2 linked regions of the Anolis sagrei genome follow. The protein of the gene in region 2 purifies or fractionates together with the protein of the main gene of each other region. This does not show direct contact. Links are inferred from orthologs where the notes say so. Each region holds a gene or a part of one and is shown on either strand. Other genes may lie near its edges.

Evidence for each region. Proteins that work in one complex are often made in the same cells at the same time.
Region 1: the proteins of EIF4G1 (region 2) and EIF3G purify together in Homo sapiens (affinity purification with mass spectrometry; 3 studies listed by BioGRID, with this or other methods). This does not show direct contact. The link is inferred for Anolis sagrei from reciprocal best matches to the Homo sapiens genes EIF4G1 and EIF3G.

What each region holds. Positions count from the first base shown.
Region 1 is NC_090022.1:172,116,907-172,127,643, reverse strand, and holds the start of EIF3G (eukaryotic translation initiation factor 3 subunit G), read right to left. Parts: upstream 4,776-10,737; 5' UTR 4,633-4,775; coding exon 4,613-4,632; intron 575-4,612; coding exon 528-574; intron 1-527. Other genes in the region: DNMT1 (DNA (cytosine-5)-methyltransferase 1), read right to left, coding at 9,218-9,255. UniProt on the Homo sapiens protein: RNA-binding component of the eukaryotic translation initiation factor 3 (eIF-3) complex, which is required for several steps in the initiation of protein synthesis.
Region 2 is NC_090023.1:262,548,003-262,558,601, forward strand, and holds the start of EIF4G1 (eukaryotic translation initiation factor 4 gamma 1), read right to left. Parts: upstream 4,666-10,599; 5' UTR 4,555-4,665; intron 1-4,554.

The DNA of each region.
Region 1 (10,737 bases), on a different chromosome or scaffold from region 2:
AGAGGCACATTTGGTTGATTGTGAAAGAGAAGGCCTTCTCAATAGCAACTACTCAGCTCTTCACCAGCCTTGCTTGGTTTAGTTCTTTTCCTGGCAGGCAGATCTTGTTTACTGAAGCAAAACTAGTCAAGTGAGCAGAGGTGAGTTGGTCATTGTTTAAAAGAGTTCAGTAAAGAGAGCATGTCCAATTCATTCCATCCCACCTCTTCAATTTTCCACTCTCCTCCCAACAATTGCCCATTAAAACAAAGTATGCATTCCTCATATTTTGCCACTGTCATAATAGCAAATTTAGTAGTAATAGTAGTAGTAGTAATAGCAGCAGCATCCCTACAAAAGAGTCCTTGGGGAAATGATGTGTGATTGAAGGTTTTCTTCGGCTGTACTAAAGGGCAGCAGTCTGAATTGCAAGGAAGTCTGAATTGCATCCGGTTAAAAGCAGTTTGGAACCCACCAATCTGGATGTACAAGTAAGACAACTCTTCATTTAGTACACACCTAATTAGTTTGTACAAGAAAATTCTTACCATCATCTCCTTCCTCTTCCACCTGGTCTGCCCAACTGGGCTTGGAGCTGAAATAAAGGTAAAACATCAATGAGCCTTCTGCTCTCAGTAGTCATAAACATGTGCATGCTGTCCAACAATAATCAAATTCCAGGAAACTAAATTCTCCATGCAACATGTTTTTGCCTATTAAACTTCATCCTGTCCATTACAACTCATTTAACACAGGTTTGCTTCTTCAGTTCTATCAGAGAAGAAGAAAAGAACATACATCTGGATGTACAAGTTAGACAACTCTTCATTTAGTACACACCTAATTAGTTTGTACAAGAAACTACTATCTCCAGCATCTAATTTATTCCAGCTATTTTTCCATTCAAATATTAATAAAAAACCTTTGGGCAGCAACCACTGTTCTTTATCTTGTCATGTCCACTTCCAAAGGAAGACGCCCACTTGCCAGCTGGTCAACACACAGGTTGGTTTGAATGCAATATTCCTGCTTCTTGGCAAGGGGTTGGACTGGATGGCCCATGAGGTCTCTTCCAACTCTTTGAGGGTTCTAGCCACCTACCTCATGTTTCAGGTAAAAATGCAGGTATTTTGCCATTGAAGATTTACATTACCATCCAGATTTATACACCACATACCTTACTTAATTTTTTTGTTTTTCTTATTTATTGTTTCCAAAGCTCACTCACTCACCCCTCTTTGAAAAAACAAACAAACCTTGTAGACTCACTCATTCAGTCCTAGACTGCTAATTGTTGGAATTAATCTTGAATTCCAATCACTTCATTAACTGCTCCAGATCTTCTTTTACCTTTCCTGTTCAGATCCTCAATAACTTTATCTTGTTCTCACTGAAGCACTAAAACTGGATTTCTAAAGGCATTTCCAAAGAGGACACTTCCGCTCATATAACTGAATAGACCCACAGAAAAGTAACAGAAAACAGACTAAGTTTGAAGCTTTGTGGTTGGGAGCCTAACCTGCATGTTTTAAAGAGACATTTTATCAAGATGGAGTGCATAACGCTGAAACATTGGCCACTGTCCAGCAAGAACACAGCCATGTTCTTCCTGCTGTCACGTGTCCTTCCAATTCAACCAACTACTTTCTCAGCCACATCTAACACAGCCTCTGTATTACCTGTCTAGCATATGCGTGATTACAGCAGTGGTTCTCAACCTTTGGTCTTCCGGATGTTTTGGACTTTAATTCTCACAATTCCTAAAAGCTGGTAAGTTGCTGGGAGTTCTGGGAGTTGAAGTCTAAAATGCCTGGAGGCTAAAAGTTGGGAACCACTGGCTTACAAGGAAAAGTCCCTTGAGAGCTAGATGTGTTTATGACTGGGGGATATATTCTCAACATTTTCAGGTAACACTCCTGTTACTATTCCATTAAAGCACTGGTTCTTAACCTGTGGGTGACGGACCACCAGTAGGCTGCAAGGACGAAAATCTGGTCCACAAATCTCATTTTTTATTTATTTTACTTCTACTCCTTTCAGACTGCCTGCCACTCCTTTCCTGTTGCTGACCATGGCATGTGTTCTGTATCAGAAAGCAGAGCTGATGTGGTCTACCCAATGCAATTTTCTGAATCAGCACCACAAACCAAATCTAAAGTTGACCAAAAACTGATTCCTAACCCTTTTGGTAATAATGCTGGAGAGTGGTCCCTGGTCAAAAAAAAGTTGGGAACCACTGCATTAAACAGATGTGGTCCAATAATACCAGATGCGGAAATTGCTCCCCATACATTAATGAAATCATGTATTTCCATGTTACCCAGACCTTTTCAACACATGTTCAGTGTCTCTCACTTTCAAAGTGACTCCATGTCTAATGGAGATTCAGTAAAGATGCAGTCTACATAATTAATACCCATCTCCAAGTTTTAGTATCTAACTATATAATGTTAGAACAAGTGAGCAAATATAGACCTCCAGGTAAGTTGCACAAAGATATCTTTGGCCTCAAAGGCCCATCAGACCTACCCAGCAAAGCCACTAATGATGGATAATGGGAATAGCTGACCAAAAACATTTGGAGAGCCATAGTTGCACATCCAATATTAAGTAAGGGAGACAATCAGTGTGGTGCAGTGGTTTCAGTGCTAGACTTGAAGTGCAACTACACTGTAGAGCAGTGATCCTCAACCTGTGGGTCCCCAGGTGTTTTGGCCTACAATTCTCAGAAATTTAGGATTTCTGGGTGTTGAAGGCTAAAACATCTGGGGACCTCAAGTTGAGAACCACTGCGAGATAGAAATAAAGGTTATTATTATGATTTTACAATTATTATTACTAGATTTTAGTATATTGTATGAGCCCCCAGTGGCGCAGTGGGTTAAACCCCTGTGCCGGCAGGACTGAAGACCGACAGGTCGCAGGTTCGAATCCGGGGAGAGGCGGATGAGCTCCCTCTATCAGCTCCAGCTCCTCATGCGGGGACATGAGAGAAGCCTCCCACAAGGATAAAAACATCAAATCATACAGGCGTCCCCTGGGCAACGTCCTTGCAGACGGCCAATTCTCTCACACCAGAAGCGACTTGCAGTTTCTCAAGTCGCTCCTGATACAACAAAAAAATTATATTGTATTATTATTAATAATATTATTATTATACTGTATTACATGAATACGTGAAGACACATCATACTAGGTAGCAGGGTAAACTCATCAAGAAATATTAATTAAATCATTTCGTTTTAAAGTTGGATTTTAAGTAAAAGATGCTTGCTTGCTTGCATGCTGGTCGCTTCTGTGGCGAGAGAATCAGCCGTCTACGAAGACGTTGCCCAGGGGACGCCCGGATATCTTGCAATCCTGCGAGGAGGCTTCTCTCATGTCCCACAACCAGATACAGTGAAGACATCTGCCCTTATGCTATGCTACTCTGCTGCTGAGTATGCATGCCCAGTGTGGAACACATCTCACCATACTAAAACAGTGGATGTGGCTCTTAATGAGACATGCCGGATTATCTCAGGGTGTCTGCGCTCTACACCACTGGAGAAATTACACTGCTTAGCCGGTATTGCACCACCTGACATCTGCCGGGAAGTAGCAGCCAATAGTGAAAGGACCAAGGCAGAGACATCTCCAGCTCATCCCCTGTTTGGGTATCAGCCAGCACGCCAATGACTTAAATCTAGGCATAGTTTTCTAAGATCTACAGAGACACTCGCTGGAACACCTCAGCAAGCGAGAGTCCAAAAGTGGCAGGCTCAAACCCAGCACCTCAACCAATGGCTGATACCAAATGAGAGACTCCCTCCTGGGCACACAGAAGACTGGGTGACTTGGAAGGCGCTGAACAGACTGCGCTCTGGCACCACGAGATGCAGAGCCAACCTCAAGAAATGGGGCTACAAAGTGGAATCCACGACATGCGAGTGTGGAGAAGAGCAAACCACTGACTACTTGCTGCAATGCAACCTGAGCCCTGCCACATGCACAATGGAGGACCTACTTGCGGCAACACCAGAAGCACTCCAAGTGGCCAGATACTGGTCAAAGGACATTTAACCAACTACGAAACTCACAAGTTGTGTATTTTTCTGTTTATTTGCTTTGTTCGGTTAGAAATGTAACATAATGGACTGGTTGCTCTGACACGACAAAAAAAGTAAAAGATACACAAAGCTATGCCAAGCTTCCCAGAGCAGGCAGCCTCAAACTGGGGCCTTCCAACGCCCAGAAGCCCTTGCCAGCTTCTTCAATGGCCAGGAATTTTAGGAGTTGGAGGTGCAAACAGCTGGAAGGCCGCTGTTTGAGGAGGCCAGGCCTTAGGTTTCTGTCACGTGTCTGCCCAACTCTTGACACTCAGCTGGAGAAGTCCAGAGCTGACCAAATTGAGCTTTTGGTCTATAACCAGCTTTAAGAGTTTGAAAGACATGAAGTTGACTTTGTTTGGGAAAAAATGGCTCATGAGAAGCGGTTGAGGAAAGAATTCGGGACTCTCCGAATCACAAACCCGCCACTGCACGTCTGGACGCGCAAACACGTGTACACGGACCGCCCGCCCGCCGCTTTCCCCTTTCCCCCAAGGCCTCCCTCCCTCCTCCAGGCCTGCTTCCCGCCTTCCCCATTTGCTCACTCGTAGTCGCCCGTCGGCATGGCCGCCCCTGGAAGAAGAGCAAGCAGCAGGAAGGCGAGCTGAAGAGGAAGACTAGGCCTCACGAGAGGCAGGAAGCCGGCCTAAGCGTGACGCAGAGCCTCACGGGAGACGTAGTTTGCGTCACTGACGTGGTGGCCAAACCAAAATGCATGGCGGAGGCCTTTCGGCTCGCCGCGGTGCCTGCTGGGAAGACGCGATAGGGGTCGCTCCACTCCAACTTTTGGGCCTCCAATTCCCAGAAGCCCTCGCCAGCTTGTTCAATGCCCAGGAATGCTGGAAGTTGGAGGCCCAAAAGCTGCAAGGCCGCCTGTATTAGTGAGGTGAATTGCCGCCCCCAGTGGACACTTCAAGAATTGCATCCCTTGATAGAATTCTAGAGTTGGAAGAGACTTCATGGGCCATCCAGTCCAACCCCCTGCCAAGAAGCGGGAATGTTGCATTCAAAGCACCCCTCACAGATGGCCACCCAGCTTCTGTTTAAAAGCCTTCAAAAGGAGCCTCCACCACACTCCGGGGCAGAGAGTTCCACTGCTGAACGGCTCACAGTCAGGAATTATAAGAGTTGGAAGACTTCATGGGCCATCCAGTCCAACCCCCTGCCAAGAAGCGGGAATGTTGCATTCAAAGCACCCCTCACAGATGGCCACCCAGCCTCTGTTTAAAAGCCTCCAAAGAAGGAGCCTCCACCACACTCCGGGGCAGAGAGTTCCACTGCTGAATGGCTCTCACAATCAGGAAGTTCTTCTTCATGTTCAGATGGAATCTCCTTTCTTGTAGTTTGAAACCATTGTTCCGCGTCCTACTGTCAAACCCAGCTGGGGGCCCTTCCACACAGCCCTATATTCCAGAATATCAAGGCAGAAAATCCCACAATATCTGCTTTGAACTGTGTTATCTGAGTCCACGCTCAGAATCTAGTTGCTTTTTTGCATGTCCACCAAAGGTGAGAGAAGGATCCCACTTGTGAGTGCATTTCCAGCATTTGTCTGATGGATTCTTTTAACATTTCGCAAGTTTACTTGGTGTTATGTACCAACGGCACATCATCGTGTACCAATTTTCACGTAGGTCCTGAGAGTCTGTATATTTTATTTTAGAGTTCCATATGTTTTCCCTGAGGAATCTGTACAAGGACCAAGTAGCAACAGTCAGAACTGACCACGGAACAACAGACTGGTTCAAGATTGGGAAAGGCGTACGGCAAGGCTGCATCCTCTCACCCAACCTTTTTAACTTGTATGCAGAACACATCATGCGATGTGCGGGGCTGGATGAATGCAAAGCCGGGGTGAAAATTGCTGGAAGAAACATTAACAACCTCAGATATGCAGATGACACCACTCTGATGGCCGAAAGCGAGGAGGAGCTGAGGAGCCTTCTAATCAAGGTGAAAGAAGAAAGCGCAAAAGCCGGGTTGCAGCTAAACGTCAAAAAAACCAAGATTATGGCAACAAGAATGATTGACAACTGGAAAATAGAGGGAGAAACCGTGGAGGCTGTGACAGACTTTGTATTTCTAGGTGCAAAGATTACTGCAGATGCAGACTGTGGCCAGGAAATCAGAAGACGCTTCCTTCTTGGGAGGAGAGCAATGTCCAGTCTCGATAAAATAGTAAAGAGTAGAGAAATCAGACTGGCAACAAAGATCCGCCTAGTCAAAGCCATGGTATTCCCTGTAGTCACCTACGGATGTGAGAGCTGGACCTTAGGGAAGGCTGAGCGAAGGAAGATCGATGCTTTTGAGCTGTGGTGTTGGAGGAAAGTTCTGAGAGTGCCTTGGACTGCGAGAAGATCCAACCAGTCCATCCTCCAGGAAATAAAGCCTGACTGCTCACTGGAGGGAAAGATACTAGAGACAAAGTTGAAGTACTTTGGCCACATCATGAGGAGACAGGAAAGCCTAGAGAAGACAATTATGCTGGGGAAAGTGGAAGGCAAAAGGAAGAGGGGCCGACCAAGGGCAAGATGGATGGATGGCATCCTTGAAGTGACTGGACTGACCTTGAGGGAGCTGGGGGTGGTAACGGCCGACAGGGAGCTCTGGCGTGGGCTGGTCCATGAGGTCACGAAGAGTCGGAGACGACTGAACGAATGAACAACAACATGTTTTCCCATTCTGTTATTTGGATGTTGTGGCCGATGTTTTGTGCCCACCTCACCATGCACTCTTTTATTTGTTCTCTCTCGGTCGACCAAGTTAAGAGTATTTTGCGGATTTTGGAGATTAGTTTATTGTTCGAAGACAAAACCTTGTCCCATATTTTTTCCCCTTCTTCGAATCCACCTTTCTTGTCTTTGTTATTATTATTTGTCGTGTCAGGAGCGACTTGAGAAACTGCAAGTCGCTTCTGGTGTGAGAGAATTGGCCGTCTGCAAGGACATTGCCCAGAGGGACACCTGGATGATTTTTTGATTTTATCATCCTTGTGGGAGGCTTCTCTCATGGAGCTGATAGAGGGAGCTCATCTGCCTCTCCCCAGATTTGAACCTGCGACCAATCGGTCTTCAGTTCTGCCAGCACAGGGGTTTAAACCACTGCGCCACTGGGGGTTCCCGGTGTTTGTTAAATGCCTCCTTTAATTGAATATGAGATTTGTTACTGAACCCTGTGTCTCTTAAGAGGCCTGTGCAGCCTTCTCCTAGTGTAGCTCCTGCTCCCTCCCTCACTCCGTTCCCTTTCCCTCTCGCCTTCCTTGCCAGACCAATGCAAAAGGGGCTTGCTTGCTTCTTCGCTTCTTCTGTCCCTCCGTCCGTCCATCCCTCTCCCCCCCCCCCCGAGAAGGCTCTAAAGCAGTGCTTCTCAACCTGGGGGTCGGGACCCCTGAGGGGTCGCCAAAGACCATAAGAAAACACAGTATTATCTGATGGTCATGGGGATTCCATGTGGGAAGTTTGAGCCAATTCTATCGTTGGTGGAGTTCAGAATATTCCTTGATTGTAATGAACTATAAATTCCAGCAACTACAACTCCCAAATGTCAAGATCTATTTTCCCCAGACTCCACCAGTGTTCACATTTGGGCATATTGAGTAATCATGCGAAGTTTGGACCAGATCCATCATGGCATGAGTCCACAGTGTCTCTGGATATAGGTGAACTACAACTCCCAAACTCAAGGTCAATGCCCATCAAACCCTTCCAGTGTTTTCTGTTGGTCATGGGAGTCAAGTTTGGTTCAAATCCATCGCTGGTGGAGTTTAGAATGCTCTTTGATTATAAGTAAACTATAAATCCCAGCAACTACAACTCCCAAATTATAAAATCAATCCTCCCCCAACCCCACTAGCATTCACATTTGGGTGCATTGGGTATTTGTGCCCAGTGAATGAAAATGCACCCTGCATATCAGATACTTACATTATGATATATAACATTAGTAAAATGACTGTTATGAAGTAGCAACGAAAACAATATTATGGTTGGGGGTCACCACAACATGAGGGACTGTCTTAAGGGGTCACGGCATTAGGAAGGTTGAGAACCACTGCTCTAAAGGCTGCTTTTCAGAGCAGCTTTGCCAGGTTGTTCTGGCTTCTCAGCTTGGCTCCTGAAGCAGGGACAGCCAGCTGCTTTGCTACTGTGGCTGTTTGTTTCCCCTTCTTGTACAGGAGGGGGCAGGCCTAGGTTTTGCACATGCGTGGTAAGGTATTTTTTATTTTTAAAAGAATTTTAAAGCTATTTTCACTGTTTGGGGATTTTTTTTAATTGTGGTCATACCTTGCGGTATGAGACGTTTGGAGGCCAAAATTGATGTCAGTTGGCCCCATAGTTTGTCTGTGTTTAGCCTACTCAGGACGCACAGAAGCTTTTTTATATATTAAGATTATCATGATTCTTTATGGGTGGCAGATGGCAATTGATAGATGGCCTATGTTCTGTATCTGAAAAACTAGAGCTGATAGGGGAAAACTGGTATCATTTTTGGAATCAGCAGGTCAAATATACCCAGAAACAGAGCTAACATTTGAGGCACCAAAATGTGTGTTGGTCAGTGGAATTGAAGTGGTACTTAGGTCCCAGCACCAACATGAACACAAACCAGAGCCCAGAGATGGGACAGACATCTGAAGGAAGTCAGAAAGGGACCTTGAGATAATTTATAGGAGAGATTTATTTGAAGAAATATTACAACATATAAAAACTACATAAAGTATTAATTTCCACTTGTACAAAGTGGTTGATTAAATTTCAATACAATGTATCATAAAAACATCCTGAACCCCCCCTCCCCCCGACACACATACACACGCACACGCATGAAGTGGCAGGCACTGCACAATTTGATCACTTGGGAATGGTTATCTGGAACATCAAAACAGCGTCAGAATGTCAGCCGAGGAGACAAACACCGCTCACAAATACAGACTCTGAGAAAGAGCAAGACAGAGAGAGAGAACACACAAAAATCCTCCCCCTCCCGTCCCCAAAAACAAAGAGAGACCTCCAACAATTTTCAGCATGTCCAGAAGTATAAGAAAATAACCTGGAAATTAAAAAAGCAGAAGAAAATTCAAAATTATCAGTGCATGTTTGGGTGTTCAGGTGCGGTAACCAAGGTGCAGCAGATGACGAGCAATTTACAAATTAATCGGAAGTGTCCATTTTTTCCCGTTTGATGGTATCTGCGGAAAAATAAGATACAGCAGAAATATAAATCCCTGAGCGTATTATTCAGGCAGGCTTTTAAAGAAGGATTTTTTTAAACATCAAGTCAGGGGGTGCTATTAATAGGTTTCAATTGATTTTGAGGGGTTTAATTGTTTATTTTTAATACTGTTCATGTTCAATTCCATTTCAATGTTTGTATATTTGTAGGTTTAAATTATATTGTATTGGTTTTTATTGTGAGCTGCTTTGAGTCTTCTTTTTTGAGAAAAAACAGGATACAAATCATCACCACCACCATTTCTCCAGCTCACATCCCTGTTCCAAAGGGATGGGGAGGAGAAGTCCAACAAGCACATAGACATCTCTACAAAAAACAGTATTTTTCCATTTGGAGTTGTTGGACAGGCAGGCCTTTCTCCCAACATGCTTCCTCCACAGGTGGGGCACCCACTATTGCCTAGAGCAGTGGTTCTCAACCTGTGGGTCCCCAGATGTTTTGGCCTTCAACTCCCAGAAATCCTAACAGTTGGCAAACCGGCTGGGATTTCTGGGAGTTGTAGACCAAGACACCAGGGGACCCATAGGTTGAGAACCACTGATCCAGAGCTCCATGTCTCTTTGCAACTGGGGTGGTAGATCTCCAAATGGCAATTTCACTGCAACGAATTTTACTGCATCAGCCTTAAACAAGTTAAGAAAGGTGCGAGGGATCATGGGAGCTTTAGTTCAATAGCACAGAATCATAGAATCAAAGAGTTGGAAGAGACCTCATGGGCCATCCAGTCCAACCCCCTGCCAAGAAGCAGGAATATTGCATTCAAATCACCCCTGACATGACCATCCAGCCTCTGTTTAAAAGCTTCCAAAGAAGGAGCCTCCACCACACTCCAGGGCAGAGAGTTCCACTGCTGAACGGCTCTCACAGTCAGGAAGTTCTTCCTCATGTTCAGATGGAATTTCCTTTCCTGTAGTTTGAAGCCATTGTTCTGTGTTCTAGTCTCCAGGGAAGCAAAAAACAAGCTTGCTCCCTCCTCCCTGTGACTTCCTCTCACATATTTATACATGGCTATCATATCTCCTCTCAGCTTTCTCATTTTCAGGCTAAACATGCTCAGCTCCTTAATCCGCTCCTCATAGGGCTTGTTCTCCAGATCCTTGATCATTTTAATCGCCCTCCTCTGGACACATTCCAGCTTGTCAATATCTCTCTTGAATTGTGGTGCCCAGAATTGGACACAATATTCCAGGTGTGGTCTAACCAAAGCAGAATAGAAGGGTAGCATGACTTCCCTGGACACTATGCTCCTATTGATGCAGGGCAAAATCCCATTGGCTTTTTTTGCCGCCACATCACATTGTTGGCTCATGTTTAATTTGTTGTCCACAAGGATTCCAAGATCTTTTTCACACGTACTGCTCTCGAGCCAGGCACCCCCCATTCTGTACCTTTGCATTTCGCTTTTTCTGCCTAAGTGGAGTATCTTGCATTTGTCCCT
Region 2 (10,599 bases):
CACATGCACAATGGAGTTCCTTCTTGCAGCAACACCAGAGGCACTCCAAGTGGCCAGCTACTGGTCAAAGGACATTTAATGAACTACCAAGCTTGTAAATTTTGTGTTTTGTTTGTTAAAAAATGCAATGCAACTGTTTGGTCTGCCCCTGACATGATAAATAAATAAATGTGTGGATTTGTTCATCATTTTTGTAGGACTTGAAGAGTGCAAAACCTTGATTCATTTTTACACAAGTTGGGGACTTTTGAGCCTTGTGTTAAGAAGAGACAAAGGGCCCTACCACATAGCCCCATATCCCAGAATATCACACAATCTCTGCTTTGAACTGGGTTATCTGAGTCCACACTGCCATATATTCCAGTTCAAATCAAATAATGTGGGATTGTCTGCCTTGATATTCTGAGATATAGGGATGAGTGGAAGGTCCCCTAGTTATAGAAGAGAAGGTTACACAGAAGGGCCTTTGATCACGTTGTGTATTGTATTGGCCTAGTGAAATGGTGCACCTCATATAAAATAGCAAAACCAACATTTGTATTTTGGATCTTTATGTAATACTTTCAAGCTCTGGATGGCTGAACAAGATGAGAAATGTACCGCAACCATTGCTCCATGGGAAGCAGTGAGAAGAGGTTATTCACAGGACTTGACTGCTAAAAATGTGTATTTGGAATTTTGACTCAATTGATATTATTGAAAGAGGGATTAAGTTTAAATGGCCAGGCCTCTTCAACAGTTAAACACTTAAGGGATTCAGTAACTGGACTCTTATAGATTGGTGACTCATTAAAAAGCAGACAGTACAGAGAACACAAGGAACAAATGTTCAGTTCTCAAAGTGAAAGGGTGCAAACAGTGATCCCCTTAAAAGACTTGTATTGGTCCAGTCCTTCCTAACTTGTTCACAAATGATCGGTTGTTTCTAAGGCCAATCAATAAGGTGGCTAACTTTGCTGCCAACAACAAACTAGTTAAAATGGCTAGAAGAAAAATAGATTGCAGAAGTCTCAAAGAATCTTCCAGATTGAGGAATGGATTGTGGAAAAATAAATTGAAGAAGGTTGCCAAAGAATCCCCCAGACTGGAAAATAAGCTTATTTGGATCCATGTAAACAAGTATGCATTTATGTACATTTATGTACACTGAGGGGAGGGGACCTACAGTAACAAATTGGAGATTGCTTTAAAAAAGTACTATCTGAAAGAAAACTCTATGTTTGCATTTCAAAATATTGCTCTTATGCAAATAGATGGTGTGGCCACACTGAAGTATTATGTACAGTTTTGCTCACTGTGCCTTAAAAGGATGCTGGAAAAAAGTGCAACCGACTATGGAGGGGGAAAGTAAAGTTAAGAGGAAACATATGTATGTAAAAGTGTGCACGTTGTGGAAAAAGTGGATACATTTTAAAGTTAATGATCTTTCCTACATAAGCCAGAAAAGGTTTCCATAATCTTCCTGATATTTTCCAGAAGAAAACAATACATAAGACTCAGAAGCAACCCCATGACAAGGGCATATTCGCTTGCAAAGTTCAGTCCTAAGATAGGATAAACAAGATAAGGAAAAACAGAAAAAAGTGTGCTGTGTATTGGAGAGATGTATCATTACTCCAATTATTAAGTTTGTATATGAGCCTCAGCCCTTATGAATGCAGTATGTCCTTGGTATACAAAAAAAAAATCTGTTTTAGGACCCCTCACCCACCTATGGATACCAAAATCTATGTGTGCTCAAGTCCCATTATGCACAATGGCCTGGTGAACTGGTGCGCCTCATATAAAATAGCAAAACCAACATTTGTATTTTGGATCTTTATGTAATACTTTCAAGCTCTGGATAGCTGAATCTGTGGATTTTGAGGACTATACTAGTTAATTGGGGGTGAATTTTGTTCTGTGGGTCTATAATCTACAATAAAATGTACAGGAGAATGAACAACAGGATTATTTATATGAAAAAAGTATTGGAGAAGGGTTACAAAACTTGATCTTCCTGGAATTTACATATTAAAAAGTTGAGCTGTACTGATAGGTGACTATGAATCCAAATGCTATTACCACACACTCAGAAACTAATGGAGCACTGGGTTAATTGCTTACCATGAACCCAAAAGCCTTTTGCATATGCTCAGAAACTAGTGGGGAGATATACTGATATGTATCTATGACCTCAAATGCCTTCTGCATATGCTCAGAAACTAGTGAGGCCAGGCGGGGTAATTAATTGTGATCCCAAATGCCTCCTGTGTTTGTTCAGAGACAACCGGGGCTATGAATCCAATGCTGGGGAGCTATATGGGTGGCTATTAATCAAAGTGCCTTTGGCCTACCTTCATAAACGAGTAGGGCAGCGGATTGAAGGGGAACAAAGGACAAGGACCTGATTTAATAATAAGTATGAAGGACTGACAAGTGGCAATGAATCCACATACGATCTGCACATTCTCAGGAATCAACAGGACACCAGATTATGGACTCAAAAGCCTTCTACATATGCTCAGAAACTAGTGATGCCCTGGATGGATAATTAACTGTGACCTCAAATGCCTTCTGTGTATGTTCAGAAACTACTAGGGCTATGAAACGAGGTGCCTTTTGCCTACCTTCAGAAAGTAGGACTGATATGTGACTATGGATCCCAATGCTATTTGCACATGCTCATAAATTAATGGGACACCAGATTGATACATGATTAAGAACTCAAAAGCCTTCTGTATATGCTCAGGAACTAGTGGGGCAAGGTGAACCCCAAGGCCTTCATCAGGGGCTCAAATAGTAATGTGGCACGAACTGTATAAAGCATGAGAAACCATAGTGCCTTCTGCATATGCTCAGAAACCAATGTAACTTGGACTGATGGGTGGCAACAAATCCCAGTACCTTCTGCATATGCTCAGAAATTACAGGGGGAGGGGGGAGAGAATGAATGGCTATGGTTTGAAATACTGTTTTCATGTCTAGAAGTGAGTGCCTTCTGCATATGCTCAGAAACTAGCATAGTGGGGTGCTGGGCTGATAAATGAATCCAAATGCCATTTGTGTATGCTCAGAAATTAATGAAACACTGGATGAATAATTATTATGAACTCGAAAGCTTTCTGCATATGCTCAGAAACTAGTGAAGCCCTGGATGGAAAATTAACTGTGACCCCAAATGCCTTCTGTGAATGTTCAGAAACTACCAGGGCTATGAAACGAAGTGCCTTTTGCCTACCTTCAGAAATCAGGACTGATAAGTGACTGTGAATCCCAATGCAATTTGCACATGCTCAGAAATTAATGGGACGCCGGATTGATAGATGATTGGGAACTCAAAAGCCTTCTGTATATGCTCAGGAACTATTGGGGCGAGGTGAACCCCAAAGCCTTCATCAGGGGCTCAAATAGTAATGTGGCACAAACTAGATAAAGCATGCGAAACCATAGTGCTTTCTCTATATTTATTATTTATTTATTTATTAATGCACTTGTATACCGCTAATATCTCAGCCTAAATCGGCGACTCATTGCGGTTTACAACATTTAAAAAACAATATTCAGTTAAAAGCATAAAACACATATACAGTACAAATTATTGGGCCACCAATAACAATCCTATGCATCTCATAACTGGAATCGTAATCCAAAATTCATCGTCCGTGTATAACCAATCCTATGCACAGGAACCAGTGGGGAGCTGAGTGGATAATTAACTGTGACCCCAAATGCATTCTGTGAATGTTCAGAAACTACCGGGACTATGAAACAAAGTGCCTTTTTATTGTCGAAGACTTTCATGGCTGGAATCACTAGGTTCTTGTGGGTTTTTTTGGGCTATAGAGCCATGTTCTAGAGGCATTTCTCCTGACGTTTCGCCTGCATCTATGGCAAGCATCCTCAGAGGTAGTGAGGTCTGTATATAAACCCACTGTCCTAATTCCAACAGACCTCACTACCTCTGAGGATGCTTGCCATAGATGCAGGCGAAACGTCAGGAGAGAATGCCTCTAGAACATGGCTGTATAGCCCAAAAAAACCCACAAGAACCTAAAGTGCCTTTTGCCTACCTTCAGAAACTAGGACTGATAGGTGACTATGAATCCCAACACAATTTGCACATCAGAAATTAATGGGTCACCGGATTGATTGAGGACTAGGAACTCAAAACCCTTCTGTATATGCTCAGGAACTATTGGGGCGAGACCATCATGGGCTCAGATACTAACGTGGCATGAACTGGATGAGGTCTGAGACATCCAGGTGCTTTCTGCCTATGCTCAGGAACCAGTGGGGAGCTGTAGTGATGGATGAAGGGGAACCCCAGCGCCTTCTGCATATGCTCAGGAACTATTGGGGCGCTGGGTGGTTGGATGTGGTGAGGAAGGCCGCGCCCCACCCGGTTTGGGGGAGGAAGAGGCGGGCGAGGAGGGCGCGAGGCCTAGTCGGGCCTGCCTCTCTCCTGCACGTGGCGGTGGTGGTGAGGCGAGGCCTAGCGCGGCCTGCCCGCCGGCTCCTTCTCCCTCCTCCCCCTCCGGCCGGGTTGGGTCGAGGAGAGGGCCCCCGGCTTACCTGGCGTCTCCTCCTTCAGCCCGACGGAGCGGGGCCCGACGTAGCCACCATTTCCGGAGCCGCTCGCTCCGAAAGGGAGGGAAAGGGGAAAAGGAAGGGGCGGGGCCTGGCGCTGAAGCCGGCCTGCAGAAACAGGAAGTGGCATCCCAGGATTGGGAGGAGGGGAGGGGGGGGAGAAAAAGAGGAGCCGCCCTTCGTCACGTGACCCTCGCCATGCTTTGGCCTCGCAGGGAGAAAAAGGTCGGCCCGGCCCGTCACGTGACCCCCCTCCCTCGCCAATCCCCGGATGTATGCCAAAGTCTCCCCCACAAGCCCCGCCCACCTCCTCCCGTCACGTGATCCTGGAGGGACTTCCGGTTCCTGTTTGCCTTACTTTCCATCATGGCCGGAGTGACACGTGTTTGAGGAGGAAGGAGAAGAAAGGCTGCTCCCTTTTGGAGTCTTTGTTTTCAGTTCAATAGCTATATCTCTCTTTTTTGAATTGGTATAAACATCTAGAATTACAAAGGTCTAGGCAAGGGAAAGGACATGGCCATCAAAGATAATTACATACGTTTTAAGAATTTCAGAGGTTAGGTCATAAACTACTTTGCAATATATATATATCTTAAGAATTTAAAAGATTAGGTCAAAAACTACATTGCAAGAATATATATATATATAAAGAATTTCAGATATTAAGTCAAAAACTATTTTGCAATAATATATATATTAAGAATTTCAGAGACTAGGTCAAAACCTACTTTGTAAGAATATAGGTATATATATAAAGAATTTCAGATGAAGTCAAAAACTACTTTCCAAATTTATATATATATAGATATATATAAAAAATTCTGAGATTAGGTCCAAAACTACCTTGAAAGAATATATATATATATATAAAGAATTTCAGAGATTAGGTCAAAAACTATTTTGCAAGAATATATATATTTAGGATTTCGGATATTAGGTCAAAAACTACTTTGCAAGAATATATATATATTTAGAATTTCGGAGATTAGGTCACAAACTAATTTGCAAGAATATGTATATAAAGAATTTCAGAGATTAGGTCAAAAACTATTTTGAATATATATATAGAGAGAGAGAATTTCAGAAAATAGGTCAAAAACTACTTTGCAAGAATATATATATTAAGAATTTCAAATATTAGGTCAAAAACTACAAATCTATATATATATATATATATATATAAATCAGATTAGGTCAAAAACTACTTTGCAAGAATATATATATTAAGAATTTCAGAGAGTAGGTCAAAAACTATTTTGCAAGAACATATATATATATATATATATATATAAAGAATTTCAGAGATTAGGTCAAAAACTACAAGAATATATATATTAAGAATTTTATAGAGTAGATCGAAAACTACTTTGCATATTGAGAATTTCAGAAAATAGGTCAAAAACTACTTTGCAAGAATATATATATTAAGAATTTCAAATATTAGGTCAAAAACTACAAATCTATCTATATATATATATATATAAATCAGATTAGGTCAAAAACTACTTTGCAAGAATATATATATTAAGAATTTCAGAGAGTAGGTCAAAAACTATTTTGCAAGAATATATATATATATATATATATATATATAAAGAATTTCAGAGATTTCAGAGATTAGGTCAAAAACTACAAGAATATATATATTAAGAATTTTATAGAGTAGATCGAAAACTACTTTGCATATTAAGAATTTCAGAGATTAGGTCAAAAACTACTTTACATATATAGAGAGAGAAAGAATTTCAGAGATCAGATAAAGTGCATTGCAGGAAATAAAATAAATACATTATGAATTTTAAATATTAGATAAACTATTACACTGAAAGAAAATTATATATATAAAGAATTTTAAAGAATAGAAAAAATTACACAGTTTAAAATTTAGATAAATACATTGTGAGAATAAGAATTTTAAAATTTATACCAAATTTACACTGCAAGAAAATTATATATACATTAAGAATTTTAAAGATTAGATAAAATTGCACTGCAATAATATATGAGAATATTTAAAGATTAAATAGTAGTTTGAAGATTAAATAGTAGTTTAGATTTAAAAAATACATTGCAAGGAAATCAAATAAATTTCAAAGATTAGGGCAAAAACTACTTTGCAAGAATATTTATGTCAGAGATCAAATAAGAAAAAAGTGAATTTCAGGAAATAAAATATATACATTATGAAATTTAAATATTAGATAAAAATTACACAGCTTAAAATGTAGATAAATACATTGCGAGACCACATTTTAAAGTTGCAAGAAAATTATATATATACATTTAGAATTTTAAAGTTTATATAAATTACACTGAAATATATATATATATAGAGAGAGAGAAGAATTTTAAAGATTAGATAAATGATTACACTGCAAGAAAATTAAGAATTGTAGTTTAGATAAAAATACATTTCAAGAAAAATAATTATTTACATTAAAATTTAAAGTAGTTAAAAATTCACTGCAATAAATACATAAAATTGTTAGTTTAAATAAATTACACTGCAAGAAAATGTTTATTTATATTTTTACATTAAAAATGTTAAAGTTTAGGTAAAAAATTACACTGCAAGAAAATTGTGTGTGTGTGTGTGTGTGTGTAATAGATACATTATACAGCCAAAAAATAAAAATTAGTAAAAAAATGAGGGAGAGAAAAAAATGACTACAAATATTTAAGTGATAAATAAATAGTTACAGAGATTAGATTAGGAAAAATTAAACTATAATAAAATTTATACAAATAAGGATGGAAAGAGAAAGGTGAATTCGAGAAAACCCACCCAGAGGTACCTGGAGTGACATGCGGTTGAGGAGGAAAAGGAGAAAGAAAGGCCAAATTGACTCAAAATATCTTATACTTGCTGCTTTTTATTGTTTTCTCCCTCTGTTTGCCAGTTATCAATCCGTCTGGTTGCCATAATCTTGTTATTTTTTATGTTTAAGTGCAACCCAGCTTTTGCACTTTCTTCTTTCACCTTGATTAGAAGGCTCTTCAGCTCCTCCTCGCTTTCGACCATCAAAGTGATATCATCTGCATATTTAAGGCTGTTAATGTTAACTGATATTTTGCTTTAAAACAATTAAAGATATAGTTGGGTTCCATGGAAATAAACATTTTAAAGGGTTTCTTGCTGTGTGTGTATGCCCACAATAGGCAGTACAAACAGAATTCGCTTCCAGAATCCCTTACTGGGCACGCTTGAACAGTTATATAGAGCAGTTGCTCCCAAGCTTTTTCAGTCATGGAAGCTTGCTCTAAGAACTTTTCCATCCCACCTCCCACACTGTTCAAAAAAGGTTCCCAGTCATTGACAAAGTTTTTCTGTATTTCCTCCCGATTCCTCATAACCAATTTATTCACTTTCAAACACTTTATAAGAGAAAGTCAGCCATAGCAGAGCACTTGATGAACCAACCTGGACACAGCATATTATTTTCTTAGTGGGTCTGTAGATAGTTTGAAGGTTGTGTTTCTTCATCAGCTTCCCTATGCGGTCAGTGGTTCCCTTGTTGTCTGGTAAGAACACGTTTCCTCTGGGTGGATTTTTGTCTTTACTCTCATGGCTTCCTATCTACAGGCCCACTAAGAAAATCCAACAAATGCTACGTTCAGCAAAGGACAAGAGGGATCCTCTCACCTCTGCAGGAGTCTACCGTATTCCATGCAGCTGTGGACAAGTCTACATAGGGACCACCAAATGCAGCAGCATTGCCCAAACAATGTTATTGGTGTTATTGTTCTAATGTTTATTGTTATTGCTTTAATGTTTATTGTTTTGCTGTATGAGTTTTATTGTTGTATTTGTTATGCTGTTGTTTTATTGAGGGCCTTGGCCTTTTGTAAGCCGCACCGAGTCCTTTGGGAGATGTTAGCGGGGTATAAATAAAGTTAATAATAAAACATGAATCAAGGAACATGAAAGGCACTGCAACTTATTCAACCAGAGAAGTCAGCCATAGCAGAGCAACTGATGAACCAGCCTGGACACCCCATATTATTTGAGAACACAGAAATGCTGGACCACTCTAACAACCACCATGTCAGGCTATACAGAGAAGCCATTGACATCCACAAGCATGTGGGCAATTTCAACAGAAAGGAAACCATGAAAATGAACAAAATCTCGCTACCAGTATTTATAAAACTCTAAAATCAGGACAGTAAATAAAGAACAACACTAAAAAAAATGGGAATTCCAGAGAAGAAATAATCAGGGCCAACTAACATCTCCCGACAAATGATTCCCCCAGGCAGTAAGCAGCCAGGGTTTGAAGCTGCAAGGCCATAAAATGCTAATCAAGGTGGCCAATTGCAACATTCATACTAGACAAGTTTTTTCTCCCATTCTGGACATTCCTCAGATATATAAACCTCACTTGCCTAGTTTCCAACAGACATCACAGCCTTGGAAGATGCCTGCCATAGATGTGGACAAAACATCAGAAGAGAAAGCTTTTGGAACATGGCCTTACAGCCCAGAAAACGCATAGCGACCAAGTGATTCCAGCCATGAACACCTCTGATAACATTCTCTATCCATTTTCTCTTCTTTTCTCCCTCTCCATCAGTCTTTGTCCCTTTGCCTTCCTCCCCAATTGTTATGGCAATCGGCTTTATCAGATGCATATAGAGATAGGGATGGGCTAGAATGAGTGCAAGACTGTCACAGGAAAAATCAGATAGAAAGTCCAAGGGTCATTACCTTAACAGGAAACATTAATCATCCAACACAGACTTTCTTGAATGGATGAGTTGATTAACTCAAGTGTGAAAAAAAGTCTTTGTTTATGTTCAGACCTCAGGAAAGAGAGTTGTTTTTTTAATGCATTCCTGTTTAGCTGTTTTGCCTGAGGGTTTTGGGGGTTGTTTCGTTGAATGCATGGTCACCTTAATCAGGGTGCTGACATAACAGTCTTGGGAAATGAAGAGTACTCTCCCTTGCTTTTAAATTTTCCATTTGCAGTACTAGATATATTATTATGAATTCTTGTTCTTTAGTAAAGAGTAGAATCAAAGAGTTGGAAGAGACCTCATGGGCCATCCAGTCCAACCCCATTCTGCCAAGAAGCAGGAATATTGCATTCAAATCACTCCTGACAGATGGCCATCCAGCCTCTGTTTAAAAGCTTCCAAAGAAGGAGCCTCCACCACACTCTGGGGCAGAGAGTTCCACTGCTGAACAGCTCTCACAGTCAGGAAGTTCTTCCTCATGTTCAGATGGAATCTCCTTTCTTGTAGTTTGAAGCCATTGTAGCCTGCCTATTGGGTTAACAAGAGCTCAAAGATGTAAACTCTTGGAATTTTTAGTTTTGTGAGACCATTACTCTTCTCAGCCAAAGAGATCTGTTGCAACAACAAACTTACAAATCCAACAATTCTATGACAAATGAGCTGTGGCAGTTAAAGTGCTGTCATACTGCTATAATTCTGTCACCCTTTATTCAAAATCTGTCATCATGTCTATTTTGACAACACTATTGTCTTGGGTCCTAAATTACCATAACATACACAACTTATTCTCCCAAGGGCGGTTTTGAAAGGCATACTCACCTATTCCAGCAAATGCAATTGGATGGCTTTTTGTTCTAGGTTGGCTGGAAGTTCACCTACTTACATGTAATGCAAATGGCCTGGAAAAAAGTGGATGAGACATACAAAGACACTGTAGGAGTATTCACAATTCCAACTGGGTTCGTTTCTCTTTCATTTGATGGTGGGAAGCAAAATTTGTATTTGTTTTGAATTTTTCCATGATCCTTCAAACCAAAAAAGCTTCCCCAAATAACTTTTGTCTAAATTAATTGCTTTCTCTGCCATGTTTCTGACTTGAATCTTACCATAACGCTTTTCCAAACTGCATCTTTTGAGCTTGCACTGGCAAAAAATATGTTTCTATAGGCACCCAAACCCACTCTCAGCAGCCCTGGATTCAGAATGGTTCGAGTCACGGTTCTTTCCTCACAGCACACATTAACTCAAGTGTGAAAAAAGCCTTTGTTTATGTTCAGATGCAGGTTGAATATC